Astyanax mexicanus: one gene and its partners. The protein of the gene in region 3 interacts with the protein of the main gene of each other region in a pairwise test. Links are inferred from orthologs where the notes say so. Each region holds a gene or a part of one and is shown on either strand. Other genes may lie near its edges. The genes, in order: lmo2, lonrf1l, adamtsl4 and natd1.

Evidence for each region.
Region 1: the proteins of adamtsl4 (region 3) and lmo2 interact in binary tests that used the Homo sapiens proteins (3 or more experiments, as listed by UniProt). The two-hybrid records come from large-scale screens. The link is inferred for Astyanax mexicanus from reciprocal best matches to the Homo sapiens genes ADAMTSL4 and LMO2.
Region 2: the proteins of adamtsl4 (region 3) and lonrf1l interact in binary tests that used the Homo sapiens proteins (3 or more experiments, as listed by UniProt). The two-hybrid records come from large-scale screens. The link is inferred for Astyanax mexicanus from reciprocal best matches to the Homo sapiens genes ADAMTSL4 and LONRF1.
Region 4: the proteins of adamtsl4 (region 3) and natd1 interact in binary tests that used the Homo sapiens proteins (3 or more experiments, as listed by UniProt). The two-hybrid records come from large-scale screens. The link is inferred for Astyanax mexicanus from reciprocal best matches to the Homo sapiens genes ADAMTSL4 and NATD1.

Annotation. Positions count from the first base shown.
Region 1 is NW_026040047.1:1,173,606-1,181,486, reverse strand, and holds the start of lmo2 (rhombotin-2), read left to right. Parts: upstream 1-4,866; 5' UTR 4,867-5,381; coding exon 5,382-5,422; intron 5,423-6,263; coding exon 6,264-6,479; intron 6,480-7,881. UniProt on the Homo sapiens protein: Acts with TAL1/SCL to regulate red blood cell development. Also acts with LDB1 to maintain erythroid precursors in an immature state.
Region 2 is NC_064419.1:8,754,245-8,761,722, reverse strand, and holds the start of lonrf1l (LON peptidase N-terminal domain and ring finger 1, like), read right to left. Parts: upstream 3,002-7,478; 5' UTR 2,910-3,001; coding exon 2,276-2,909; intron 3-2,275; coding exon 1-2. Other genes in the region: very low-density lipoprotein receptor, read left to right, coding at 7,260-7,326.
Region 3 is NC_064413.1:29,579,233-29,587,171, reverse strand, and holds the start of adamtsl4 (thrombospondin type-1 domain-containing protein 4), read right to left. Parts: upstream 3,013-7,939; 5' UTR 2,638-3,012; coding exon 2,615-2,637; intron 1-2,614. UniProt on the Homo sapiens protein: Positive regulation of apoptosis. May facilitate FBN1 microfibril biogenesis.
Region 4 is NC_064426.1:27,674,816-27,681,682, forward strand, and holds the start of natd1 (protein NATD1), read right to left. Parts: upstream 3,005-6,867; 5' UTR 2,848-3,004; coding exon 2,751-2,847; intron 457-2,750; coding exon 338-456; intron 1-337.

The DNA of each region.
Region 1 (7,881 bases), on a different chromosome or scaffold from region 3:
CTGCTCATTTTAGCAACAGTTAGCTGGTAGCGGTTCAGGTAGCTGATATGTTTCTATAAACAATAGTGCTGAGGGCTGTGGTGTGATGCTTGTGCACAAAGCAAAATATGTCAGTGGAGACATCTCAGATGTGATGGTGAAATTGAGTCCTCTCCTCACATAGGAATGGTTGCCAAGTTAATTCACTTATTTAATCCTGTTTTCAGTCCCAGACTGCCCACAATAAATGCACATTCTAAAAAGTAATTGTGTTGTAGTCAGAGGAAGCAATATTATCAAGTTTAGTAAACTAACCAGGCATCAATAAAATGATTTCAAAACTTCAACCTAATAACTAATAAATATGCTCTTTCCACATTGTTGGTTCAAACAGCTTTCCTATAGGCTTCTGGCACCATATATTTGCATAGTGAATGTGGCCTCTAATTTACTTAGCATCTTTGTGTTGTCTGTTGCCCAAAGCTACTTTATCCTGGGCTGCATTAATGTAATATATGTGTGAAGACTACCAGTGTTGTAGGCTGTAAAAGCAAGCTACCTTTATTCTGTGTTCCTGGAGCTCACAGTATGTTGGCTTAGGTTTGCAGAGTTCACTCTTATGCTTCCCCAGTGTTATGCATTGGCAGTATTTTACAAATGTGCTAAATATGTTAAGCCTATAATCTACATTCTTTAAACCAACAATACCTGAAAAAAACTGCTCAGTTAATTAAACTATTGTTGTGTGAACAAAACTCGGATTCAAGTTATCATCTAGCTTTGACTCAGTTAAGCTGAACATACTTAAAATTGTATGTATTTACAACTTAACTGAGTCAAAGCAAAATGATAACTTGACTGAGTTAAATTGAGCCAATGAAGCTATCGTATGGACTGCATTTGAGAAAAGTATCAGAACATGTGGACTGCTTGCTGGAGGGATTCCATGAGTGTAACTGTCAGTCCCCGGTAAGTCTGCGGTCCTGAGATGGTAGTTTTATCTTATGGCCCAGTCCACCAGCCGACAGTTGCCTCCCTCCTACAGTGAGCCCCAAGGCTTTGCTAGCAGATAAGATGAGTTGGCCCTAATGGCATCAGACAAAGATAGGTGTTAGGAGACGGTTTGAGAATACACAGAAGTGAGATGGTGATAGGATGTCTCTTTTGTGTTGTAAGACTAGTAATATTGTCTTAAAGACCATTTGGTACATTTAAAAAATATTCTAATATAATGTTGTGGTTTTAGGGGCAGAATAAATGTTCAGCATCTCAAAGAGAAAATGAATCAACACAGGGACACAATTAGACATACAGTGTACATACAATTCCAGGAATATACACACAGCACAGCTGTCCCAACTCTCTCTGATTTAGAGCTGTATCTCGACAAAACAAATTGGGTGTTCTGCTATTTCTATCAGCAGTAACAATAAACACTGGTGTCCTAGTTCCACTGGCAGCCATATTTCCATGCCATTACACGGCCACCATCTATAATCTGCTTAATCTTGGTTTCATCTATATGAAAAATCTTGTTTAGACAGTTTTCGTTTAGACAATCGTTCGTTTCGTTAGACAACAATGAGCTCTAACATATTTTCCTGACAGATACCTGTTGTCTTCTCTCATCGTTTTGCAGGATAAGGCTAAAAGGAGCTCAGAATCACCTACAGCACCTACTAGATGAAAAATGAGATTGAGTCCCATCCACTCTTAAAGAGTACATTGCAGCTATTTTACTCTGCGGCACAGTGTTATCGATTGAGACCTGATCTGTAGCTTCCTTACAATAATGTTCCAGCTCCATCCTCAGAACTTTACATACAGTGTATCACAAAAGTGAGTACGCACCTCGCATTTCTGCAGATATTTAAGTTACACTGCCCGCTTTCTTGTTTACAGACTTGACAGCCATGGAGACCAATTTGATGTAGTGTTTGGCGTATGTTCTGAGCACTGACAGACTGACCCACCCCCCCTCTTCAATCTCTGAAGCAATGCTGACAGCACACCTGCACCTATCTTTCAAACAGAATTTGGACGTGACGCTGAGCACCTGCACTCAGGTTCTTTAGGCGACCAATGTGAGGTCTGTTCTGAGTGGACACTGCTCTTTCAAAACGCTGGATTAACTTGGTCACTGTGCTGCTGCTCAGTTTCAGGGTGTTCGCAATCTTCATGTAGCCTTGGCCATCTTCATGTAGCACAACAATTTGTCTTTAAAGATCTTTAGAGAGTTCTTTGCCATGAGGTGCCATGTTGGAACTTTCAGTGATCAGTATAAGAGAGTGTGAGAGCAGTACTACAAAATTTAACACACCCGCTTCCTATGCACACCTGAGACCTAGTAACACTGGCCTAATCTGAACTTTTATCCTTGTTAACCAGCCTTGCAATCTTTCTGAATTAATCTGATAGCTGAACTTCCAGCCTGTTCTCAGTATGAGCACTTGTGCAGTGATATACTAGGGGTATCTCAGCTTCTTGGGCTGGCCTCTGATTGATGCCTTTGGCTGACATCTGTCAGCTGCTACTCTAGTGAGTCTGCCTTCATGATAATGATAGCATTCTTCATCTACTATCTTACAGAGGCCATGAAACAACGCTAATTACACATGTAACTGTGGTTCTATGATGCCAGATGACTTGCTGGTAGACGACAAATGCCACAAATAACATTTTGATATTAAGGATCATAGAACCACAGGTACATGCAGTTACTAGCAATCTTCAACACATCCATAAAACATAAAAATATGTTTTTACGAGAGAGCAGGGACAATTCTATGATTTGTATAATGTTTTATTCATAAATTTAATTAGTATGGACCCTACTGTAGATTTTTTTTTCAGTTCGATCATTAGCACACATGATTTAACATTATCAAGGACTGATTAAACCAGATGTTTGGGGTAAAGACAAACAAATCTGGCCTGGCATGAGGAGATCCAGGGATGGTGGGCAGACTTCTCCTTGCTGTATGGGCAGCAGAAAGAGATTTATGTGCCTTGCTTAAAGACCAACCAGTGGCAGATTAGGCAAATCCACTAATCCCACAACCCTGTGATCATTAACCTCATGCTCTAAATACTGAGCCTCCTTTTCTACTGTAAAATGGAGGAAAACACTGACATGATCATACTCAATAAACATAACAAGGAGCCCTGTGAGGAGAAAAAAGCTGATGAAAAAGTACATTTTCATATAATTCCATACAGAACCTCAAAAAGGACAAAATGGCATATTTTCAAAACCATTAGAATTTGTTGATCTTCCATAAGGTACAGAGATAAGCCTTTGGACTGATTATGGACTGATGAGACAAATATAAATGTTTACCAGTGTGATTGAAAAGGCTAAAGTTTTGAGGATCTGATCATGATCTCAAACACACCAGCTCATCTGTGAAACACAGTGGAGATATGGCTTTTTCTGGGATGGGCTCACTTATCTAAATTGATATTTAATGAACTCAGAAAGTTAAAGAAATATTCAACCAAACAGATTGGTAGCAAGATAATGGCCCAAAACCCACTGCAGTCTGGAAAAGCATCACAGAGGAAGAATGCAGAAGGTTAGTGATGTCAGTGGCTCACAGACGTGATGCAGTTACTGCAAGAGAAGAATTTACAACTAAATATTAGTCTTATTCACTTCATCCATATCTGTTCCAATACTTTTGCTCATTGGAAAAATTGGTGGGTTCAGACAGAAGGTTTTATCTTTTGAACCCTGTATCAGATCCAGATGTAAATATATGGAAATAAAAACTAAATAAAAATGTAATTTAATATTGAAGACATTAAAGCTATACAGAACCACATGCTGAATTATTTAGTAAACAAAAAAAAGTTCAGAATATGTTTAATACTTTAGATTCTTCTAAGTATAGCACATCTTTGAGGACAGATCTGCAGACTCTTGGTGAGATTTTTGACTCTTGGGGAGAGTCACCTGGAATAGTTTTCTCAGCATCTTGAAGGAAGGAGTTCCTGGAGGTGCTGAACAACAGTGCTTTTCCTTCACACTGTGAAGCTCTAGTTCATTCCAATTAAATCACCTCAAATCACCATCTCAGTTCATCAGCTTTAGATCAGGGGATTGTGGAGGATTTTTTATTGGGGCATTATTTGATAAATCGCTGTTATCATATTTTCAGTTTCAGTGATGGCGACCCTGGGAGCTGAAGCTAGCGTTGTGGGATGTAAACAATGTTTTTAAAAAGCTTCTTGGGCACTTTTTAGGTTATTAATGCCTCATTTTAAATGTCAGGGCTCTCCAGACTCTAGCAAGGAAGTGTGGAGCTACTTTGAGCAGGATAACAGTGTAAAAAGTGATTTATCAGGGCAAATTATGCCCTGTGTCACCCAAGGGTGTTGGAACGGAGGTGTGCTATTCATCAAAGGAAAGTACTTTTTATCATGTTTTACTACAACAAAAGTCAGTTCTCCTTTAACTACTTTCATGTTTTTAATATGAATCTACAATGTAGAAAATAAATTATATAAAGACATACAGACACTGAATGAGAAGGTGGTGCTGTAGTATTTGTACTTTTATTTAAGCGTATAATTTGTGTAGTTCTGCCACCTCAGTTGAGTAAATGAAACTTTAGTTTAGGCTCTTTATTACACAGTTACTCTTATTACTATTAAAATACGATGTTGAGCCAAATGGAAATATTTGGTTTATTATAAAACTTCTCTCTGTTTTGCTGCTGTGTTGCTGTGTGTGTGTAACAGTGTGTAACGGTGTGTGTGTTATATAGGTGTGGTTTGGTTGGGTGTTGGGGATGATGGGGGGGTAATGAGGTCGTGAGCGCTGTTTCCTCTGATTGTGCAGGAGGAGGAGAGGGGGGGGGTTGCAGGAGCGGCTCGTGAGCAGGAAGTGTGCTGCAGGCTGAGGGTCGGGGGCTGGACACACTGTATAAAACCCGCTGCTGTGAAACCCGGAGTCACTCAGTCAGAACCGCAGCAGCAGAACCGGGCCGAGCCGAGGCGAGGCGGCGGGAGGAGGAGCCGTGTGGAGACTGAGGGGTGGAGCTGCTGGAGCTGCTGTTCCTCTCCGCCCAGAGAAACTGCGCAGTCTGAGCTTCACACAGCGCCGAGAACCAGACCCTCAACATGCGGAGCACCGGACCCAGAGTAACGGCGAGTATTCCGTAGTAACGGCAGGTAACCCTTGGTAACGGCAAAAAGCAGCGTAACCCTTGGTAACCGCGAGTAACGGCGAGGGGCAGGTGTGCGGATTAGAGCATCCTATAGCCTCGGCTGCAGGGTCGCGCTACCGGAGACTGAGCTCTGCGGGAGAAGGAGGCTACGGTACCGGGTCCGGGGACTGAGCGCTGCGGGGTTAGAGGAGCAGATGTGCGGCTCTCAGGTTCCTCTCACCCAGCGCTAAAATGGCCTCTACAATCGAGAGGAAAACACTGGAAGCTAATGAGTGAGTATCTCTCTGTCTGTTTATTTACTGTAGCTGTAATATTTCTCAGTTTATTGTAATAAATATATATATAATGATAAATAATGCAGGTGTATAGACTGTGAGTGTGTGTGTGTATCTCTCTGTGTTTATTTACTGTAGCTGTAATATTTCTCAGTTTATTATAATAAATATATAATGATAAATAATGCAGGAGTGTAGACTGTGAGTGGGGTTGTGGGTATATCTTTGTGTTTTCTACTGTAGCTGTAATGTTTCTCAGTTTATTATAATAAATATATCAACATAAGTGTTTTATAAACGTTTCACTGACCACCTTCTTTGATGTGACAGTGAAGCGTTATATATAGCTGTGTAAAAGACAGCTCAAGCACTTACTCTGGAGACCTGTGACATGCTTGTTAAGAACTAAGCTGGTCAACCATATTGAACCATATTGATAAAGGAAAACACAAAAATTGCTACCAGCAAAAGCTATATTACAGTTCTCCATTTTTAGTTTAGTGATTAGACTCAGTTTTTTCATGTTTTCAGCCCATTTTCTGCCAACTCTGGTCAAAAATATGAGACCAGGCAGCAGCTGTAGCATATGCACTTCCATAATTCTCAGACACTTTAATGAGTTTAATAAGTTTTTGTTTATTTAGCCTTTCAGGAAATGTTTGTAGACTCACACTTTTCTTTTGCCCTCACTTAGTATATTTGTTATTTGCTAAGACTGAGTGTTGTCTACATTTTTTTATACACAGGCCTCATATCATGGTTAAAGGGAGGGAATGTGTGAAGTTTAACCACACACTGTTCAGTAAGGTAAAATTTAGTTTTCTAATGAATTTTGCAGAGAACCTGTGGATGAGGTCCTCCAGGTACCTCCATCACTGCTGTCCTGTGGTGGATGTCACCAAAGTATCGGAGATCGCTTCTTCCTCAAGGCCATTGAGCAGTACTGGCACGAGGACTGTCTGAGCTGTGATCTCTGCGGCTGTCGGCTGGGGGAAGTTGGCCGGAGGCTTTACTATAAACTGGGCAGGAAGCTGTGCAGGAGAGACTATCTCAGGTAAGAGTCCCTTCAGGTCTGAAACATACTCTGATCTTTAAGAGAGAGTCTTATATTTAATTATACCACAGTTATTCCTGACCCTGCATTGTAATTGGCTGAGAGGAGTTCTATGAGTGCTGTTATCTGCTGGTAATGCACTGTAACCGAAGCTCTCAATGTATTACTCCTCCACATATAGGTAACCTAGCAACAATGCAGCGCTTACGAACCAAACAGCGCAGCTACAAACAGAGCAGCAATGAAACTATTTTAAATAATTTTAGTGTTTAAAACCAAACAGATTGTATTTTCTCATCCTTTTAACTCAAAATCTTTCATTAAACAGCAATAATAGAACTGTGTTATAATCGCAATAATACACTCGAGGTTTGTGCTATAATGTGCTGTATTGGCACTGCTGATCTACATTACGTGGCCTATGGCCTTGTGCCTAAGGCCGCAGCACAGCAGTGCTAATATTACATGTTATAGCACTGCCTTTCCTGTATTATTGTATAAGTAATTTAATTCAGAGGAAAACATGGGCCATGTTGCCTGACGTACATTTACATTATTATTTTATATGTTGAGCATGTTTATACCTTTATGTGTGTTCAGCACTGCAGTGATTAGCACTGATTAGAATGGTGGTGGTGTATGAGTGGATCAGATGCAGCAGTGCTGCTGGAGTTTTTAAACACTGTGTTTAATCTCTCACTGTCCACCACTCTATTACACAACAGCCTGTAGATAAAATAAAGTCAGAGACTGAAGCTCTGATTCTGTTGCTGCACAGTTTACACTGTTGCCAATCCTTCATTGATGGGTACAATGGCTTCTTTTTCTGGCTTCTTTTCTGGCTTCTTTGTCAGCCAGCCTCACTGCTGCTAAAGCTGAATTTTATCACAAAAAAATCAGCTCCCTCACAGACTCCCGGAAACTATTTGCTACATTCAAAACACTACTCAACCCTCCACCTCCTCCTCAGGCTACCTGCCTTACGGCTGAAGCTCTTGCCTCATTCTTTACTGGGAAAGTGGCAGCTATCAGCAGACAGTTTACTGATGCGACATGTAGCAGTCCTACATCATGCTCTGCTGCCCGGTATCCCTCTACCGAAGGCGTCGCTTTCTCCTCGTTCGCTCCTCTCACTGAGAACGAGACACTGGCTCTCCTAACGCGTAGCCGTCCTACTACGTGTCCACTTGACCCGATTCCTTCAGACCTTCTGCAAACCATTGCACCTGCAATCATTCCGGCTATTACTCACACGATCAATGCCTCTTTAACATTTGGTGTGTTCCCGACTGCTTTTAAACAAGCACAGGTCACACCACTGCTTAAAAAGCCTTCTCTCAACCCCGCCCAGGTTGATAACTACAGACCGGTCTCACTACTGCCTTTTCTTTCTAAAACATTA
Region 2 (7,478 bases), on a different chromosome or scaffold from region 3:
GTCTGGAAAAGAGACAGAAGAGAGAGAATTTATAATAATATTAACAATAATGACAACTTAATATACTAATAATATTACTTAATGTAATGTAAATACATGGACAAACAGATAGATACATAGACTGTTCCTTGTATTACCACACACTACCTCACTCTCTTACTGTACCTCACTCTGCCTCCAGCCTCATGATGCTACAAGAGCCCACTCTGCAGTGTAAAGAGCTACCTCTGTTGTTGCACGCAGGCAATGCAGTTTACCTTGCTGTTATTTAACATTTTTTGATGTGTTTGGTCTGTGTGTGTGTGCTGCAGTCTAAGGGTGTCCTTGTCAGCCCTCATGTTCAGAAACAGAGTTGAGGAATTTAAGCGTCAGCCTTCAGATTAAAAAAAAAAACATACATTTATTCAAAAGCGCCCAAAACAGAGGGCAGACTAGGACACCTTGATAATGCAGCTTGCTCACCCACCCACACACACTCACAGAAGCTGGCAGTGGCAGTGACACACCACTCACTCCATGAGTCATGATTCTGATCATTTACAGCAACATTATACCATTGCTGAAAACATGCAGAGAGGAATACATATAATTAATTGCATAATAAAATAATTATGTGATTACATGACTCTAATGCAAGGAAACCTTGGCCAGTAGGTTTGACCTGAAGTGCCCCGTGGCCTGTTTCTCGGTGTACACGCAGTGTGGTGACCCTGAAGATGACCGATAACTGACCTATAAAGTGTTACAATGTGCTTTCTCTCTACATGTGGTCAGTGAGTGGAAGCTAGGGTGCGCCAAATATTTGGCAACCAAAGGTTTTGATCCAAAAATGTCCAAAAAAAGCACTTTTTGAGTTCAAAATATGTGAAAAAAAAACAATTAATACTAAACTCTGACTAATTTACGGTACTAGTCAAAAGTTTGGACACACCTTCTATGCTTCTTCAATGCTTTTCCTATATCTTTCATTTATTTTTTTATACTGTATATTATAATTAAAGACATAAATATAATTAAGGAAACATATGGAATTACGCAGTAAATGGTAAAAAAAAAAAGTGTTTGTCCACAATCCCCTAACCTAAACCTGATCAACTGGGATGGATGAGCTGGAGCTTCACAGCGTGAAGGAAAAGCAGCAGCTATTGTTCAGCACCTCCAGGAACTCCTTCAAGACACTGAGAAAACTATTTCAGGTGACTCTCCCTCATGAAGACACTGAGATTAAAATACCAAATGTGTGCAGATCTGTCCTCAAAACTAAATATGCTGTTTAAAAAAAAAAAAGTATAAATCATCTTCTGGTTTGTTTAACACTTTTAGTTCACAGTATAGTTCTGCATATATTCCTGTATGGCTTTACTTAATTCAATATTAAATGTACAGTGTAAAAATAAATCATAAAAAGAAAGAAAACTAATTGAATGTGAAAAGGTGTATCCAAACGTTTGACTGGTACTGTATATTGTGTCATATTGTTGTATTGTGCTGCATCTGCTGGGATGTTAAAAATGTTGACAGTTCCATAAATACTTTACACTGTAGCTAGAAATTGTTCTAGGTGATTCTTTTAAAAAATCCAGACAAATGTATGTAAAGGTGAAAGAATTGGCAACATTAATGAAACATTTCAGTCATTTTGTTCAGTTTCAGCCTGAGAAAATTAATTTCAGTTTATCCTTAGTGGAAGCACAAGGTGTTTCTAATAAAGTGGTTAGTGAGTTTAAGCACAAGGTTGTGAGCAGGTGTTTCTAATAAAGTTGTCAAAATGCTAGTGAGTGTATATATTCTATTTATGTAATGGCATTTGGATATACATTATAATTATATAAAGCATACCTACATACAAGTAAGCATGTAAACTATTATGAGTAAAATATTAGTATCAGCATTATTCATACGTCGTATTATTGTTATTACTACCATTAATAAAGGCCTCACTTTCTCTTCACCTCATGTCACATTACAAAACTCAACACTTAACCTTACACAACCTTCATCTCTCCACGCATGCGCGCGTAAAAACGCGTTTCGTAAGGCTGGTGGGCGGAGTCACGTGAATCCAGGAACGACGTGGGCGGGGCCGGTTCTCTGAAATGTTGGTCAGTAGAACTCGGGCGATGTGAATAAATTATGTAATCGTTTAGCCTGGAAAAGCCCAAACTGTGTGGGGGTTCTCCACTTTTGTCAGTAATAAAGGACAACAGTGCTGTTTTATATCATAATTTGTTTAGGGCGAAGGATAAAGACGAAATAAGTTAAAAACACAGCTCACCGCTTTTTAAAAGCTCACTGGCCAGCGCTGCAGCCTCCTCCCAGTGTTTACTCCTCATCAGCCCCTCAGCCTCTCCAACCCGCCGGGCTTTCCTCACCTCCTCCGGGAAACACTTCTCCAGCAGTCCGCTCAGAACCACGTTGGGTTTGTGTTCTGAAGGGCTCCGGTCCATGTTCTCGCTACACACCTGGCACCGGGGCACCAGTATCCGCTGTAAACAGCCTCTGCAGTAGGAATGTCCACATGCCGCGGTCACAGGTTCCCACATGAACCTGCCACACCCGGGACAGTCAAACATACAGCCCGAGTCCCCCACCTGTCCCCGGTTCCCCTGGGTCAGCAGAGTCGCTACAGTCTCCCCGGCGTTCCCCTGCTTGTAGTTCCGCAGGATACAGTCCACCAGCGCGCCCAGCTGCTCCGGCCGGATGGGGTCGTGCCTCAGTGCCGCGCAGAACATGTCTATCGCCTCTTTCAGGCGGTTCTGGGACGCCAGTGAGTCCGCTTTCCGCAGTATCACGCTTTGCGGGTCCACGCTGGAGTCCTCGCCCCACTCCGCCTCTCCCTGCGCCGCTATGTAGAAGCCTGCTGCCCGGGCCTCCGTCGCCTGCGCCCCGCTGCGTTTCTCCACCGACATGCTGGAGCGGTCAGCCCGCGTATTAGTGTTATAACTCTAGTATTATCACCGTAATAACTTCAGCACAGAGATATAATAACTGTTAATAGTATCACAGCCATCCTTGCCCAGCGCGAGAACAAGCGCTGAAAGCGAGTTACATAAAAAACACGGTCACGTGAGGGCAGATTCCTGCGCTCCTATTGGTCAGAACTCGACGATTACAAAACGTGCGCTCGGTGAGTTTTGTAACTCTGGAAATGAGGCGTCACACAATAGACAGACGGCACGGTGTACCGGGACACTGAAGTACAACCAGACCCTGACAAATCCCACAACATCACAGAGTTATACAGATAACAGAGTTACCGACCTGTCACAAAGTGTAACTTTTCACTTAACTCAGCCAAAAGGTTAAATAAAGCACAATAATCTAATAGGCGAGCTATTACAAATCATCAACTTGAAAACATGTCACATATTCAATAATGTTGTAATGCGTCGTTGTATAATTAGCACACATTACATTTGACATTTTATTAGTGTTATACTACAGTTACATTATGTAGTAAGTAACATAATAGAGGAAAATGATGACTGATGCACCTAACATCTGAGGTTACTCATAGGGCCCATTCCCTTCCCCTATACTCTAATCTCATCTCTTAAGTAGCTTTTTGATCCAATCAGCAACACTTAACCACACATGAAGATCTGACACCTAACACCTGAATTGCTGTGGCTGTGGCTGTTTCAGCAATATTTGAGACAACCACAAAATACCTTGGTTAGCCTTCCCATCACAAATACTCATTCATTAATTATATTACATTATATTACATTGGGCAGACGCTTTCGTCCAAAGCGATGTACAATAATGATGTACATTAAGTAGTAAAAGACATAGAAGATCAAGTTAAAAAAAAAACATTTAAGACTGGGCCTAAAAGAGGCCAAAGGGAAATAATGGGATATAAGAGAGTAAGTGCTCTTTGAAGAGCTCTGTCTTCAGGAGTTTCTGAAAGATAGAGAGTGATGTTCCTGATCTGGTAGTGGAAGGTAGTTTGTTTACATTAATAGTGTTTATTACATTTACGTATGCAAGTGCACAGTTTTGTTGCATTTCTTGATGTTCTTACAATAATTGTGTTATAATTAAAATGAGTTTCTTTGATTTTACCAAATTGTAAACCTCTGGAATATTATCAAGAGAAAGAATAACCACAAGCCATCAAACCAAGCTAAACTGCTTGAATTTTTGCACCAGGAGTGGCATAAAGTCATCCAAAAGCAGTGTGTAAGACTGGTGAAGGAGAACATGCCAAGATGCATGAAAACTGTGATTAAAAACCAGGGTTATTTCACCAAATATTGAGTTCTGAACTCTTAAAACTTTATGAATATGAACTTGTTCACTTTGCATTATTTGAGGTCTGAAAGCTCTGCATCTTTTTTGTTATTTCAGCCATTTCTTATTTTCTGCAAATAATGCTCCAAATGACAACATTTTATTTGGAGAGAAATGTGAGAAATGTTGTCAGTAGTTTATAGAATAAAACAACAATGTTTATTTACTCAAACACACCTATAAATAGCAAAATCAGAGAAACTGATGCAGAAACTGAAGTGGTCTGTAAATTGCTTCCAGAGCTGTATATAAAAATTTTTATAAGTGTCAACAAACTGTCAGAGGAATACATATAATTCAACATGAAATTTAGATAATAAAAGTAAACAATTTTATTCAGAAATTTAAATGAATACAGTTAAACTAAAAAAAAAAACATAAATTAACATAATGTTCATTGAAACCTTTTTTCTTAACTTTAAGTTTATAAAATTAAACCTTCTTATTTTTTTTTATTTTAAGTTAAAAGAAAATGAATATTTTTTCTTCTTTTATTCCTGTCAAAACATTAGCACAACAAGCGTTAGCTTAGCAGCACCAGGCTAAGCGTCCCATAGCAACACAGACACGTGAGTGTTAGTCGGCGAAAACGCAAAAAAAAAAAAAAAACAGCTATGTGAGGAACATGTCGGCGATTTTGGCTGATATTTATTTTATTTCATCAGCGGGAACTTTAATCCGTAATAAACGGTGATTTTTAAGGCAGTGAAACAAACGAAAAAAGGTCCGGGTTTGTTTTAGGGCAGTGTGTCTGCGCATGCGCATTCAACTCCCAGCTCCTGAGTTATGAGAGCACTGGAATGAGAGTCATGTAACATTTAGGTCAAATTGCAAAACACAGATCAGTCCAGATTATTTGTTTGTAATAAATATAGACTCTGCGGCTTCTTCTCTCTGGATTTCTTACTCTTTGCTTTTATTCAGGGTTTATAATGTTAGTGTATAATGTGAGGGTGCAGAAAGTCCCAGATTGACCCCTAATGACCTCCCTCACCAACAGTCCCAGTTATGTCATTTTATTGTAACCGGCTCTTACAAAACAGTCATATAACATACTTGCCTTTATTTCTTTTTACATAACATAACTGACTCATGCACTCTCCCTTTTAACATGTATTTATTATTTACTGTTTTTACTGCTGTTTTTTTACACTGTTTGAAACTGAAGGGGAATTAAATACTACTCTAAAGTTAAGTAACATGTTTGGACAGAGCAGCATTGCTTAGAAACGTCGAGGTGCCTTGTAAAGGAACCACCAAGCTTTCAAGCCTTTACAAGCTTTAACAATGTTAACAGTGTGGGTCTGTCTATTACACAAACAGCATAAGTGGAATGACAGTTTATTTTAGTTCATTCAACTTTTTGTTTAATAAGTCTCTATTCCAGAAAGAGAGAGAGAGATGTGTAAGTGAATAACAAACATTTCAGAAACTGTTACTTGTCTGACATTAATTAAGTATAGTTCAGAAATACATGAATTTGATTTTCCAGGTCTGTTCAAAATATAATTATAATGTTAATTGCTAAAAAATAACAATACCATATGCTACCTGATTTTGGTTTGGCATTTTAGTTTTGACATGTACAAAGAGTGTTAATAAATTTTTAATTCAGGTTTTAATTGTGACCTCAAGATGTCTGATATTTTATGCATCTGAAATAAAAATGTGTGGAATTTGACAATTATTTCATTCATTGATTTGAATTGCACAATTTGAAATTATTTTACAGCAAAAAGTGATACGCAACTAATGTAGATGTAGAGTTTTAACCACTTGACAGCACCAATAATATTTTATACTTTAAAATAACAAACAATGAGATGAAATTAGACTTGAAATTAGAGAATGATTTAGGCCTAACTTAATTTAAATCAGGTGTGAATGCCATATAGCCATAACATAGAGATATTTCTAATCAGAGCTGTGGGTCTGTACGTGTAGTTTAATCTGATCAGAACAGGTTTTGTTATATCCTATATGACAGCTTCTTTACTGTAAACATGAGTTGAATATTATTGAAATTAGGTAATTATTATGAAAGCAGTTCGTTACTCATTGATTATATTATGAAACGTGTTGTTCTGAAAATATAAACAGCAGGGGGAGCCACAGCAGTGGTTTCTGGTATTACTGTACATTTCTCATTCTGTGGTTGGTGTTAAGACAAATTCAAATAGTAATAATAATAATAATCGTTGTTTTCATAATAATAATAATAATAATAATAATAATAATAATAATAATAAATTATTATTATTATTATTATTATTATTATTATTATTATTATTATTATTATTATTATTATTATTATTATTATTATTATTATATTTCAGGAATAGTAACCAATGTTGGTAAATGTGTTCTGAAGTATAGGAATGCAGGAGGACAAGAGGAGTAGGAAGGGAGGAGGAGGAGAGGAAGAGTAGGAAGGGAGGAGGTGAAGAGGAATAGTAAGGGGAGAAAGAGAAGAAGAGGCGCAGAAAGTGAGGAAAAGGAGGAGGAGAGGAGTATGAAGAGAGGAGGAAGAAGAAAAGGAAGGGAGAAGGAAGAAGAGTATGAAGGGATGAAAAGAATATGAGTAGAAAGGACGGAGGAGGAGTAAGGGAGGAAAAAGAGGAGATGAGGAGGCAGAGGAGAGGAGCAGTATGAAGGGAGGAGGATGAAGGAGAGGAAGAGAAGAAAGAGAAGAGAAGGAGTAGAAAAGGAGGGGGAGAGTAGGAGTAGGAAGGGAGGATGAAAAGGAGAGGAGAAGTATGAAGAGAGAAGGAGGAGGAGGAAGGAGGTGAGGAGGAAAGGCAAAAATGTATGGATGCAACCGCCTGCTTTGGTTTCCTTCCCTAGAAAATTATCCCCTGTGTAGGGCACTAGCACTCAGTTTGAGACGCGCCCAGGTGAGCCCTCTCGTTGCGTCATATTCTCGCGATAGCTGCAGCAGCAGAGGTCGCTGTATTGAATGAAGCATGGAGCTGAAGTTCTGTCTGTTAGTGTGTTCTGGGATACTGCTGTCATACACTTCTGCAGCAGCAGGTAAACAAACGCACACACACACAGAAACACACACACGCACACACACCGCGAGTGTGTATTCAGCGCCGGGTTAGGGGTGGACCGGGGCTGAGTGGGAGGTGGGCTGTCATTCAGCTGCACATGGCACTGTCCCATTACGGATGGGTGCACGT
Region 3 (7,939 bases):
ACATGCAAGCAACTGCCAGGAAGGAAATTCACATTATATACTGTAAATTAAATCTTAAATGCTGGGATACACGATAATGAGACCAAAAAATGGAAAGCATTCTTAAGGAAAAAAATGGAAGAAATGCACATACAGGAAATGTTAGACAACACTACATATCCAACTAAGTGCTCTCAAACAAATGTGAGGAAATGAAAGTTGAACCACACCACTTAGGCGCTGCCTAAATAACATCCTAAAAACTGAGAATCAGAACAAGAAGGGGGCAATACAAACAGACCAACACATTAAAGGACCTACAGAGTTAACTGGCTGACAACAATCAACAATATAAAGAAGTGTGGATATCTGTCTGTATGTCTGTAATGAAAGGCATTACTCAAGAATACACCAAAGAAATGCTAGAGTGGATTTGTTTTATATGGGATTTTGTGGTCAGATGAGACCTTAATTTACCTTATTTTAAAACGCCATGTGAACCAGAGTGCCCACTGCCCAACAACCACTATCCCAAAAGTGTTGTGGTGAACTGGGAATCTTGTTAGGACAGATGGATGTATGTATGATGTAAAAACAGCATGCAGATCTTTATGCCATGCTGAAAAAAAAAGAACCTGGCCATCTTAAGCTGGTTAAGCTGGTTGACCAGCCTATATCTTGACCAGCATAGGTATGTTTGAGTTTTATGATTTATCAGACCCAAAAGCATGAACCACCTGACCAAGATAGACATCCAGCATGACCAGCAAAACCAAATCTGTCGACCAGCATGAACAGCATGGCAAAGCATGACTAAAAACAAATCCATCATGTACTCAGCTAGTCAAGAGGTGGTCAACCAGCTTGTTTACCAGTATATACACTGCCTGGCCTAAAAAAGTGATCTGGGGTTGCTGCAGTTGGTCAGGTATAGGTTCAGCAACAGTATGTGATGAAAGAATGAAGTCAGCTGACTACTTGAATATATCAATTGATTTTTTTTTCTTCCCTGATGGCACAAGCATATTCCAGAATTCATGGGGCTGGAGTTGTGAAAGAGTGGTTTAGGGAAAACAGTGGTTCAGGGAGCATCGAGATCATTTCATTTTCCGACCAGGCAGTGTAGTATGGTTCAGTCTAGATAAGAAGCTTTTCAACCAGCTTAACCACCATATACCAGATTAGATCATCTGAAACCAGCTACCAGCATCCCATACACACAAAAACAAGGCACATAACAATAGAAGGACCAACCAACCTACTGTACTGTACATCCCAGCACACACACCCACTTAAAACAATATAGAAACCACTATACACCACAACATACTCATAAGCCCTACCCGGACGGGATTCGTTTCTCAGGGGGACGTCTGTGAAAAATATTTAACATTTCTACTCCGGACTGAAATTGAAAAGACAGGAGGATCAATTAGTTTTTTGGCTTTCTCGGTCACAAGACATCGTGTTCAGTAGCTCCTCCATTTCCACTTGCTGTTGTGTTTACGTGGATCTATGTGCGTCCAAACTGTAATCACGTTGCGTGGCAGTAGACAAATAACTATTTTATTAAACGCGTGATTTAATTAAAATCACAGAGGACCCCCCATAAAAGAGAAAATCCCCCCAATACCCCCTGAGAAACTAATCCCGTCCAGATAGGGCTTTAGAAATTCAACAATAAGCATGCCTTCATTCAGCACCTTATCATAAATACATAAAGACAACAACACACACTACAACAGACCCCCACCACCGCTGCTTCTGAGGTCCACCTGCTCTGCACAGGTTGGAGTTTTCCAGCTGTGCGGACACAAACCTCTAGACCACAGCTCTGGAGCTGGAGGTAAACACTGGCCCAGACCCATCTCAGCAGATGTGTGTCCTCCTGAGTGTAAACTCAGCTCAGTGCCCAGACCCTACCCCTGACCACTGTTCCTCCATCTCCTCCAACCCGTCCTGCAGAACTTCTGCTGCTTATTTGTCCATCAAACCATGAGCTAATCACTTCAGACACTGAGGGGTTTTCGTGTTATTCTAAGTCATGCATCTGCGGATTCGGTTCGACCCCCCAAATCGGCGCGGTGCAGTCTGCGTGCAGCCGCAGCGGAACGTAATGGGACGCTGCACAAAAACCATAATTGCTGCGCGCCACCGCGGAAACCCCAACGAAAACAGCGCCGGACAGCGGCACAAAAAGCTCCCGGGGAGAGCGAGGGGAGGGGAAGGGCAAGGGGGCACTGAGACCTTCTTCACCACGCAGCCAGCCAGCCCTAAAAACCCACCAACCCACCCCTCCATCGCCTTATCCATCCGTGCCTGCCCATGCGGTCGCTACAGTGGAGCTATAGCTTTGGAAAACGGTGAAAAGGCGCGTGAAGGAGGCACTTGCTGAAATTAACGCACAAACGAGACTTTTTATTGGTCTAAAAAAACACAATGTGTGAGAAACTGTGTATACAGGGGAAAAACGAAGCACGTGGGCCAAAAAAAGCTGGTGTACTGAAAAATGACACCAAAACACACCGAAAAACACGAGACTGAAGTTTGTTAATATTGCTGGAGGCATTAACCTCCAACGTAACCAGACTAAACAGCGCTAATAATAACGTTAAACCCACACACAGGGGCTTACCTGCACACAGACCCAGGCCACATTCTCTTTTTCTTTTTTTCACTCTTTCTTCCTCTTTATCACTTCTCTCTCTTTTCCTCCCTCTGAATTTCTCCCTCTCTTCTCCTTACAGAGCTGCTCGCGCTGTATTGAACCCCAATCAGGTTTCTTACTGCTTCCAAATCCGGATTCAAGCACGAAGTGAAACTGTGTCCAAAACTCTGTCCAACTTTTTTTTCTTTTTTCCTCTCTCTCTCTCTCTCTCTCTCTCTCTCTCTCTCTCTCTCTTTCTCTCTCTCTCTCACACACACACACACACACACATACACACTCACTCTCTCCCTCTGCACACTGACTCTCTCTCTCTTTCTCTCGTACACTCGGACTCTCTCTCTCTCTCTCTCTTTCCTCTGTCACTTTGCCTCTCCCTCTGGCTGAGTCACACACATTCGCACACACACAACACACACACACGCCCCCCACCCCCTACTCAGGGGTAAGAGAGGGGTGGGCCACTTTTTTTCATTTCTGTCGTTTAACCAACTTTTCCTTTTTGTCCTTGTGGAGAAGTGGTGTGACGTTGGACAGCAGGGGGGCCTAAAGGGGTTGGAGAGTGAAGGGGCTGGAGAGTGTGTGGATTACACAACTGCACACACGTGCACACACACTCTTAAGTGTGTATTCCTATCTAATGTGTCTCTGTGGGGTGTTTTCACGTGCATGCTCTTGTATTATTTCTGTTCTATTTGTTGTTACTTTAGCTTCTGTGTGGAAGGTTGCCCATGAAAAGCAGCCAGGTGTTCCCCACAACATCCAAATGTTCATATTTTCATTTTTTCAGGTTGGCACATAGACATCCTATTTTCATATAAAAACTTTGGCAGTGTAATAGGAGGTGCTAGAGAGCACAGTGAACCCCATATACACCTGGTCTCTTTATGAATTTTGGGTATCAGGATTATATCTAAATGAGGCCATGCCATATAAAAATACAAACGTAAACACACCCAAAACAGATTAAAACAGACACAAATCTGATCACTTAAACCACTTCAGGAGGAGGTCCAAGTCCCAGTTCTTACCTATCATTAACATATCCTGGGTGATCCGATTACAGACGATTGCTAAAACCTATAGCTGTTCACACCTGCCATTTTAAATGCTTCTCCTGTGACCAGCAGATATCAGATTTCCCACATCATTTCTACTGAAAAAGTTTACAATAAGACTCTTAATTCTTTGCATAAGAAATAGACGAGGCACTTAGTTCACTTGCACACCGGTCACAAGTATTGCTTTAATCCAAGTCATGCTAACTATACACTAAAAAACGTTGAAAAGACTAGAATAAATTTGAATTGATTAAAGTCAAGACAAGACAAGACACCACAGAATGCGCTTGCCTTGCTGCTTGCTGTAGCTCTCCTGTTGGCTGTTAAAATTGTTTACGTCACTATTCGTTGAGCCAAGTCAAGAACACGGTTAAACACAGTTGATTTTATCTGAACGCCAGTATGAGAAAAAGACTGACTTAAACCTTCAATCCTAACCACCTTACACTGAATGTTCAAGATGACACAACCGCAAATCTACTCTAGAAAGACTCTCATGATTTTATTCAGACACTGGATATTTGTCTATGACAGTGAACTCCCTTGAAAATTTGTTTGGTGTAATGTATGCATTACCTAACTAGCTAACTTGTGTAGACGGTGTGGCCTCTGGTATTATATATGTTCTGCCATTGGCAATGGCATGGTTTACGCGGCTAGTGCTTTGCTGTCAGGAACGCATTGAAATTCTTTAAGAATACTAGAATAATGTGTATAATATGTGTCTCTGACTACCTCTAAATATGGTTTGAGTGATCAGATTACAGTGCATGCTCGAAACATCTCACCTCTACTTTGTGCTGTCCACTTATGATCGGATTACCCAGGACATTGTTAATGCAAGGTGTGAATGGAGTTTATGACGCATTTGAGCCATGTTATAACAGTGTAAACGCATCCATCTCTAAAAGCCACATTCAACAACCGAAACACGTCCTAGTACAAACGAAACCCCTCCCCATGTAGTATATAATTTGGCATGTGATTCGTGTCTGTGAGAAAGATCATCATTGAGGACAACAGCATATAAAATCATGCACAATGTCACGTAAAATTTGTCAATTTTAAGCAACAATTAAAATATTGTCCATCTATCTGGACATGAATTTGACTCGTACGTAAATGTATGTGGTTAAAATTTTATCATAATACAACACAGATATTAGTTACATGAAGTGACCAAGTGAAAACAGGGTCAGTGACTTTAAACATAGCACTGTAGCAGAATTCTAAGATTGGCCACAAGTCAGATCATGAAATTCTACCATGCTAGAGCTGCCCTGTTCAACTATGAGTGCTAATATTGTGAAACAGAAATGTGGAGAAAAAACAACAGCTCAGACATGAAGTGGTAGACAATGCAAACTCTCATGTACAGTGTAAATATCTAATATATCTATCTTGGTCTGTATCATTCCAAACCAGTTGCATCACTCAATATCAATTCCAACCTGTCACTGAAGGCAACTTCATTTTCGTCAGAGCCTTATGAAAGAGCCTTTCCCATGACTGAGCTGCATGCTGGATGCCTAAGATCATCACCATGTGCAAAGCAAGTGGTAAAAGGCTGCAGTGACATACAATGAACCAGAAACTGAGCAGTGTTATCCAGACTGATAAATTGCTCTTCAGTGTCGAACGCCTCTGTTGGCTTGTTGCAGTAAGATGTGTAGCAATGCTCATCCCCACATGTTTAAATAACAAAAAAGAACATTTATTTCTAATTCCATCTCCAGTGTCTAATTACAACAGTTGGTTTTCCCTGTGCTAATGAAGGCAAAATTTTCTCATTCCTCACAAATCAGTTTTTACTGATTTTGAGGAACAGTTATTACACTGTATCATGATTGATACAGTCTTCTGCATTATTAGATGGAGTAGCTGAGTTGTGGTTGAGCTGTCAGGCAACTAGTATTCATAATGTTATTGATTACATGGTGTTGTGATATGTGGTCACTTTGGAAAATGTTTTTTTTTTGTAGGTGGAAAATGTTTTTTGATGAGTCTTATGTTAGTATAAAATTATGATAAAAACATGATCTTATTACTTGATAACCAGTCAGCTAACATTAATGTAGTTAGACATGCTGAACTCTGTAGTATCTGTTCTCTGCCAAGAATCTAATCACATTTATTTTCTGGTGTCCAAATACCATAAAAAATTGCAATGTATTTTCTTTTTTTTTTGTAAATTATACCTGGTGTGTGCTGACTTTGTTGCAGCAGCTCAGGTAGTAGCCTGTCTCAGTAGCAACCAGATATTAACTGTACTGTATTTTAAAGGAACTGCACTGTTGGAACTGTTGGAACATTAAAATCCACTTTGCTTCTGGTTCCTTAACTCAATGAAGGCAGTCTGAGACAAGCTCGGTCTGGGAGAAGGGTGTGGGTCTAAAAAATAAGTAGGCATAACTGGCCCTAACTTTGGTCTCTTCATCACAGACACGTTTGTCTTTATTGCTATAAAACGGAATATACTGGAATCTCAGTGTCCATGTTTTGTACAGTCTTTGGTTCCACCAGTAAAGTCTGATGAAGGGTGGATGATGATTTAGGGCTGATTCTCAGTGATTGGTTTCTTAGTTACAATGTGAAACTTAGATACAAATACTTTTCTCATTATTATTTGCTTCCAGCTCTGTGGCAACAGTATAAGGAATAGTTTCCTGTTCCACTGTGACTCTGTCCCTGTGCACAGAATGAGGTCTATAACGACATGGTTTGACGAGTGTGGTGTGGAGAAACTCCAGTGACCGGCACACAGCCCTGACCTCAACCTCTGCGAATACCTCTGGGATGAAGTAGTTAGTGTTACAGCTTTGTTAGGGGCTCAGATTTGTTTTTATTCCACTTAATTCCTTCACCAGGCAGGCATGCATGCACACACACACACATTCACACACTCACACTTACACACACAGCTCTCCACACTATACTGAACTGGCAGATTTAACCATGCCATAGGATGCATTTATTGTTTTAAGCTGCTGTATGATGTATAAATAGCAAGTATATGATGCTGGCTTGGACAAAAACTGCTTTGATATGAACAACTTAAAACCTTGTTATTTTGTGTTTACAGCACTGGTGATGGGTCACAGAAGCAGGAGATATAAATACCTAGGCGCTGCATTGTCTGCTTTGGCCTGCTGCTGCAATATGTCAACATGTCCACGGTACTGGTCCATGCAAGACAGGCCTGTAAAAAAACTAAGGAAGCTGCATTTATTTCTGATTAAAAACATAAAAACTGCACATTTATCAACCGGTTTTAATGAGTTGCTATATTATATAAGGGTTTTTAATCTACAGCCCTAGACCACTTCAGTATCTGAATCAGTTTATCTGATTTTGCTATGTACAGGTATATGTTTAAGTAAAATGAACATTGGTGTTTTATTCTATAAACTTTGGACAACATTTCTCCCAAATTCCAAATAAAAATATTGTCATTTAGAGCATTTATTTGCCGAAAATAAGAAATGATTTTTAAATCACATTTTTTATGCATCTTGTCATGTTCTCCTCCACCAGTCTTACACACTGCTTATGGATAACTTTATGCCATTCCCGGTGCAACAATTCAAACAGTTCAGCTTGGATTGATGGTTTGTGATCATCCAGAGGTTTTCAACCATCTTCTTCTTGATTATATTCCAGAGGTTTTTAATTTGGTAAAATAAAAGAAACTTATATTGTGGAAATTGTTTTTTTCTATGAACTTCCCCATAATTTTTGTATTTTTTGTGCTCTAGGTCAGAACAAAGTTAATTCACTTCGAATTATTTAAATTTATTGAATCTTTAGGTTTGAATAAATGACCAAACTGACAAAAATATAATAAAATCCTCAAAGACAATCTCCTGCTTTTTTATTGGAGTGAAACTATAAAGACAACTACAAACAGATTTAGATGTTACAGCACGTTTACATATCTACATTATGGTAAACCAAATTGTAAAAATATAGTATAGTATAAACAGATTGGATTATAGAATGTAATGTAAAGTCAAATTAAATAGTAGCACAACATACAGCAAAGTAGCTAAGCATATTACCATAAATACAATATAGAAGACTACAATGAGATGTGCTCTACTAATTTATAGTATAAATAAAGTAATAACAGGCTAACAATATAAATAGCATATGTAGGCTAAATACTAGTAGCCTAGTAAATAGTGATACTGAATAGTATATTAATAGTAAAAGTAATACAATAATACAAAACTAT
Region 4 (6,867 bases), on a different chromosome or scaffold from region 3:
TAATTGCCTTTATTAAAACCAAACAGAGCAGGAATTTGGAGGATTTAAATAAATGCTATGAAATATCTGCATTATATTAATTTAACTGAAATGACAACAGAAATGTAGCCCCCATATAAATGTTAAATGTCTATTAGCTTTAAATGATATTTAAAGAAAACACAGTACATGGCATTCCCACAGATCACAAATCAAATTTCTGTTATCCTGACATTGGATTCTTACTGGCCAACACTGGCCTATTGGTCACACTCTTGGCAGTCCGGAGACAGATAAATTAAGGTCATAACTCATACATGAATTCCTCTTCACTCTATCTACAGTTATAAAACTCCACCTTGGCCAAATGCTTGGCAATGCCCCGTCCTCTGTAGGCATCTGGCACCTCAGTGTGTTGCAGGTCCACAGTCTTCTTCCCCACATACTCATACAGCAACACGGCTCTATCATAAGAACCTACCAAACAAAGGATGAGTAAAAAATAATTAGTATTGTAAACAAACCAGATTTTTTTTACAAGATATATATGTGTAGGCCTCAGTTATCTGTGATTTGTTCTGGCTTTATTGACTGTTTAATATTAAAAATGATACAAATTATAATTATTGAGTTTTTCAGTTGTGTTCATTTATATTTTTTATTTGCTTTGATGATTTGCTATAAAAGCACAGTATAAACAGTTTACAACCTTCCTTAACTGAGTTTTCCCCCTGGGTAATTATGAAAATGCTAAATAATAAACAGAATTATGACGCTAATGTAGGTCAAAATAGGTTAATTAGGTCAATGATATGCCGCCCCTGATGTATCAAGGTAGAACAAAAAGGTAAATACATTAAATGTTCTCCCGGATTAATGGTTTCCTCATTTTAACAAACCATCCCCTGATGTTAAAAAAAACTGCATCCTCAGTTCAACAATTTGTTCACTCAATGTAACAGTAACTTAGTTTAGTAAGTTGTTTCCTCATTTAAGTAAATAATTACAAGTGTGCCCTCAATTTACATAATTGTTACCTCAGTTTAGATGTTTGTTATCTACATTTAATACATTCTTATCTTAGTCTAACAATTGTTTGCCTTAATTTAATGAACTGTTCCCTCTAGGTGTGCAAGAAAATATTGATTCTACATTTTGTTTTGCAATACAGTGTAGGTCTTTAATTATTAGTTTACTTGTAAATATTGGTTTCGGAAGGTGGTTCATTTTGTGTTGTGTTTAAACCCTGTCCACTAAAAGGCACTGTTGTACCCTGTCCTTAGATCCCACTGTTCTGTTTGCTTAAAATGTCAACTTGTCCTAAATTGAGATTTTCCAAGTATTTTTCTAATATCACAATAAATTAAACATTTTGGTTTAAACATGTAAAGGGCTACTAAACCCCCTAATTTTAGCTGACTCCACCCTCAGCTCAAATTTGAAAAATGCTAAAAAATGAGAGGGGTAGATTGGGAGGGGCACTGGGTGATGTATGGGTTTAGAGGTGGGGCAGGAGGCAGAGCTGATTGGCTGAGCTGCAGCAGCAGCAGCAGCGTGCCTCTGACAGTGGCAGGACCCAGATGGTTGGATGTCAGCAGTGGGGTGGTATTATCGATTGATCTGTATATTGTGATGTGTCTGCGTACCAAAGTACAGGCGGAAATTACCTTAATAAAAGCGTTTTTTTAAGGTTAGGAAATGTTTATAAACATTTTAAGCAGGACTGGTATGTTTTAGAGTTTAGTGGCTTTTTAAGCAATATATTATCTTGCATCACATAGGCCTATCACAAGAATGACACTATCTTTACTTTAAAAGTGGATGAATGCTTTATTATGCTATTCAATTACCACTATGTCAGTGGCCTGTGCCCTTAATTTGGGGCATAAACTGTTCTTTCAGTTTAATAAATGGTTATTCCAATGTAGTTAAATGTAATGAATGCTTCACTTCATCGACGAACCCATTTTACACTAGCTAACTAAGCCTCCATAAATTGCTTTTCTTCTTTGATAGAAAAAGCTAAGCTTGGGTTTGAAGGTTTTCAGCTACGGGTTCAGTGAAAACCACACTGACAGAGGAAAAAAACAACTGTGTGTCTGTTTTGTTTTGCACAGATAATCTCTTGTTATTGATGTAACAGGAAGTCAAACGAGGGCTGGCTAACAAAATACAGCTGAAAAGCAACTAAATCTGTGTTTACATTCGAAAATATCTCCAAACAAACGAAAGACCTTTCTAAAATGAGTTTTCCTCACCTGAATCTCGAGGTTTAAGCTGTTAAACGGGCGTGAATGTCGAATTTTTGCTGTGTAGCGAGCTTAAGGGTAATGAGAGCTGGCTAGTTGCTAAGGTTGAGGAAAAACATATACATTAGCTAAGCTAAGCTAGCGGGCGAACTTGTAACCTAGGTTAACGCTTGGTTTTAATGTTTTGGCTTTACAGGAAAAAATACAGGACGAACGAGATTCAACTAACTAGTTACTTAAGTCTATGTTTTAATGTTGCTAAGCTTGTTAACTAGGTTCACTAGTTAGGTTAAATGACTGTTAACAGAGAAGAGGGAAAGTGTTGAGCTAGCAGCAGTGAAGAGCAGAGCTGTGAGCACTGCTGTGGACTAGTTCCAGAGGACTAGCCAGCCGGCTAACTAACGCTAGCCCGCCAGCCAGCCAGTGTCACTCAGCCGAGCCGAGGCTGTAATGAAAACAAAGGTACAGCCCTGCAGCGCTGCTCTCTCCCTGTCCCCGCCAGCCCAACTCCAGCCTCTTTACCGTTGAGACGGATGCTAAACTGCCGCCGCTTCTTGTCGTGCTCGACCCGAATGGGGCTGCTGATCTCCAGGATGTTGATCTGGGCGGCCTGGGCCATGGTGCTGGAGCAGCGGTGCGCTAAAAGTCGGTGAGAGCGCTGCGTCTGATACAGCAGCAGCAGCAGCAGCAGCAGCCCCGAGACGCAGGCTGAGAGCCGGGCTGGCCCAGGCGGACTGAGGGCGTTCAGACAGCCCAGCAAAAAAACACTCCATCCAAAAAAATCAGCTGTGAGCCCACGTGTTCGCCTCAGCCAATCAGAACACGCAGGCAATGTTTTGATGCGCGGCCTCGTGATGCACTTGCCGCACCTGACCGCTAGATGGAGACCGTATTACTGTAACCACGCAGGGCCAAAAATATCCAGATAACAGTTAGCAGTGGATGATGAATTTTAATAAAATAAAAAGCCTTTTCTAAAAAAAAAACATTTTCCCTCAAAAAAACAAACAAAAAAAATACACGGATCAGCCATGGTCAGTGTAACGTTTATTATTTTTTTTTCTGACTGTTTTTTCTGACTGACTGGCTAAATGCAAAAATATAAAATTGGATGTAAAAATTCATTGGTTTTTATGTAATGCAGTGTACAATAAATACTTTTTATCAATTTATCCAATTATATATTTTTCATCTCAAAAATAAAAAGGAATCTTTTCTTCATTTTCTGATTTTTCCATTTTTGCATATTGCAAGGATTATACCATCAGATATGTGTTACAAGATACAAAAATGGACCCATCTGAAAAGCGAGAGAAGATTCACTTTTTCATTTTTCTTGAAATTCTGTTTGCCAAAGGCTGAAATGAAAAACTATATAATTGAAAAACTGGATGGAAACCCATTTCTTCTTCACTTTACTGAGTGAAAAAAAAACAATGATTAAGTTTTATACCCAATTTTCTATTTTCGAATTTAGCTTGATACAGTCAGAAAATTAAACTGCCAAAGTATTTTAATAGTAGGTCACTTGCCCAAAAGTATCTGGATAGCAGTGGATGAATTTTAATAAAATGAAAACTAAATATATAATAGGTCATATAATAAAAAAGCCTCTACTTACTCAAGACAAGAAAAAAACATTTTCCTTAATGAAAATAAACAAATAAGTTTAAAACAACTGAAACTAAGTGAAAAACATGGATTCATGGCCAATAGTAGTCAGAAAGAATGAATTGTAAAAAAATAATAATAAAAAAAATTATATTTTTATTTTTCTAGAAAAAAAAACTAAATTCCACTCATTAAAATTCACAGATAAGCCATAACATTAAAATGTCTAACGTAATGTAAAAAACATTTTGAATCAATTAGTGAACCTTTGTTTTTTTTTTTATTTGTTTTTTTTATTATTTCAATGCAGCATTTTTAGTGCATTTATAAAGAATTTAAAGAAACTGAAAAAAATAGTTATAGTTATAAATAGTTTAATCAGGTAAAAAAAAGAGAAACTACATAATACATTTTTAAAAATAAAAAATAAATATAAATAAGTAACTCAAGTAATTATATTTGTTATATTTGTGATATATTTTTTGTTTTTAGTAAATGTCATTTACTCTAAACAAATACATAGCAGAACAAAAGCTCTTTTTATTGGACAATAAAAAAAATGTAAAGTGAAAAACACTGATTACTCACTTTAAAGTAATATATAAAATATAAAGGGAGTATTGGTGAATTCTAACAACAATAACAGACATAAGGCCCACCTTGGCCTACAGGACTTGCTGCTGAATATTGGTGCCTCAGTTCACACTTCAGAACACTGTGTGTTTGCTGGAACAAGGAGGACCTACCTACACCAAATTAGGCAGGTTTTTGAACATCAAAGCTCATTGGTGCATATACACTTTAAGCACAGTTGCAAATCCATGCACAGAAACTTCACGGGCCAGCATGGATTAAAGGTCTAGAGTGTTTCTCAATAAGTGCAATTGCAGTGCCAGCAATGATGCTCAATTGAAAATCCTTATTAGTTTAGGCTTAGGCTTAATAATTAGTTGCCAGGAAACCAGTTCCTATATTGGTTATAAGACAGAGTTGCTAATAATGCACACAGGAGTTTTATAAAAGAATTATAAACACACAAAGGAACAACATGAAAAAGGTAAACGAGTTCACAGTGAGCTGAAGTAGATTAGGATTTATGGTTTCGAGAGCTGCTTCTAGAACTCCCAGATTAAATATAGAACTATTTCAGAATTTCTGTTGGAAACCATTACTTCAGTTCAGTTTAGTGATGGGCTGTAACATTACTCTGACTGTAGGAGTGGTTTTTTTTTTTAAGTCAGGTTATTACAAGAAAATTCTGCTGGAGGACAATATACATTTCAGATAATAATATTTCAGATTGGTCTTAAAAACTACAGAAAAGTCTTTCTTTGTTAACCCTTTAAATCAATGTCATCACTGTAAGAAACCTCCTATTGTTTTTTTTTTCACTTTGCAATTATGTTTATCAGGAAATATTTATATTTTCTTAAAATGTATATTTTCTGGAACAACCAGAAAGTGATCTTTACAAAGGGTTTGATACAGTGTTCAGAATTGCTCCCTGTTACAGAAATAGTGAAAATTATGGTGTGTTTGTAGAGTTTGAAATCTCAACAGTACATTTTATTTCCTATAAAGTTTACAATTGAACACCCATAACACATTGTAAAAAATGTCCAATGTATACCATAATGTAATGTCATCAGAAAAGCACTATGCAAGATGTTTTGTTGTTTGGGTTTTCCCTAAACAGCAAATATTATTTTGTGGCGTGGAAGAGGAAGGAAGACCCGTGAGACTCATGCTGAATGCTCAACAGCTCCTTTTATTGAACCAGCTTGCCACTCACTCAGAATCTTTAACAAGACTAGGAGAGCTAAATCATTAAACCAAAGAGCTAAATAAATCCGTGTATCATTCGTTCATTTGATATTCAATTGAGAATCAAAATCGGAAAATTAAAAAAACAATTCGTTTTTTCGTTTTTGAATATAATACCAAAAAACGAATAACGGCTTGTATTTTGTATTTTTATTTGGTTATCCAAACAAAAATTGGAAATTTAAAAAACGGACCAGGAGCCGAATTTGATTTTGATTTTGAACTTGACCCATTTGTGTGCCCGGAAGTTACTGATTTGTTTATTCTTGGTGGGTTTCTGTTGCGCGGGAGTTCACTGCAGTGTTATCTACACAGTCTGTATTGCTGTAGGCTTTGGATGGAGTTGAGGATGGAGAGTTTTATCTTGTTCAGAGGAACTAAACGCGTTGCAGTGAAAGAAGACGATATGACAACAGAAAATACATGTCTTTTTCGCTTAAGGTCGTGTTGAACACAGAACCTTCTAACACTCATTGCAGAACATCGCTGGATCCCCATTTGCTGCAACGTGCACGAAATCTCTTCATGCGTCTTACCACCTTCAAAAAGATCTTTAATTAGGCCAGAATGTGGTTCCAGTCCGGCCATGCTGCCTACAGCAATACAGACTGTGTAGATAACACTGCAGTGAACTCCCGCGCAACAGAAACCCACCAAGAATAAACAAATCAGTAACTTCCGGGGCACACAAATGGGTCAAGTTCAAAATCAAAATCAAATTCGGCTCCTGGTCCGTTTTTTAAATTTCCAATTTTTGTTTGGATAACCAAATAAAAATACAAAATACAAGCCGTTATTCGTTTTTTGGTATTATATTCAAAAACGAAAAAACGAAAAAACGAATTGGTTTTTTAATTTTCCGATTTTGATTCTCAATTGAATATCAAATGAACGAATGATACACGGATTTAATTAGCCCAAAGGCCACCAACCCAGCTGTGTGTCTCCCAGATGGCAGATCCAGAGTGGTGCCCACCCTCTCTGCATAACCCCTCCCAAGGGAGATGCCCCACCCCTGTCATCCTCGCACACAGGAGAACAGAACATGCCTGCAGGCAGCCACACACACAACCCAGAGCCGCCACAATATAGTGAATAGTAAAGGAGTTAATGAGTGAACCATTCCAAACTCAGCGCAGGTCTGACCCTAACTCTGATGTTTTGACCAGCTCAGTGGACATTTCATGAGCTTGTTTGATTAAGT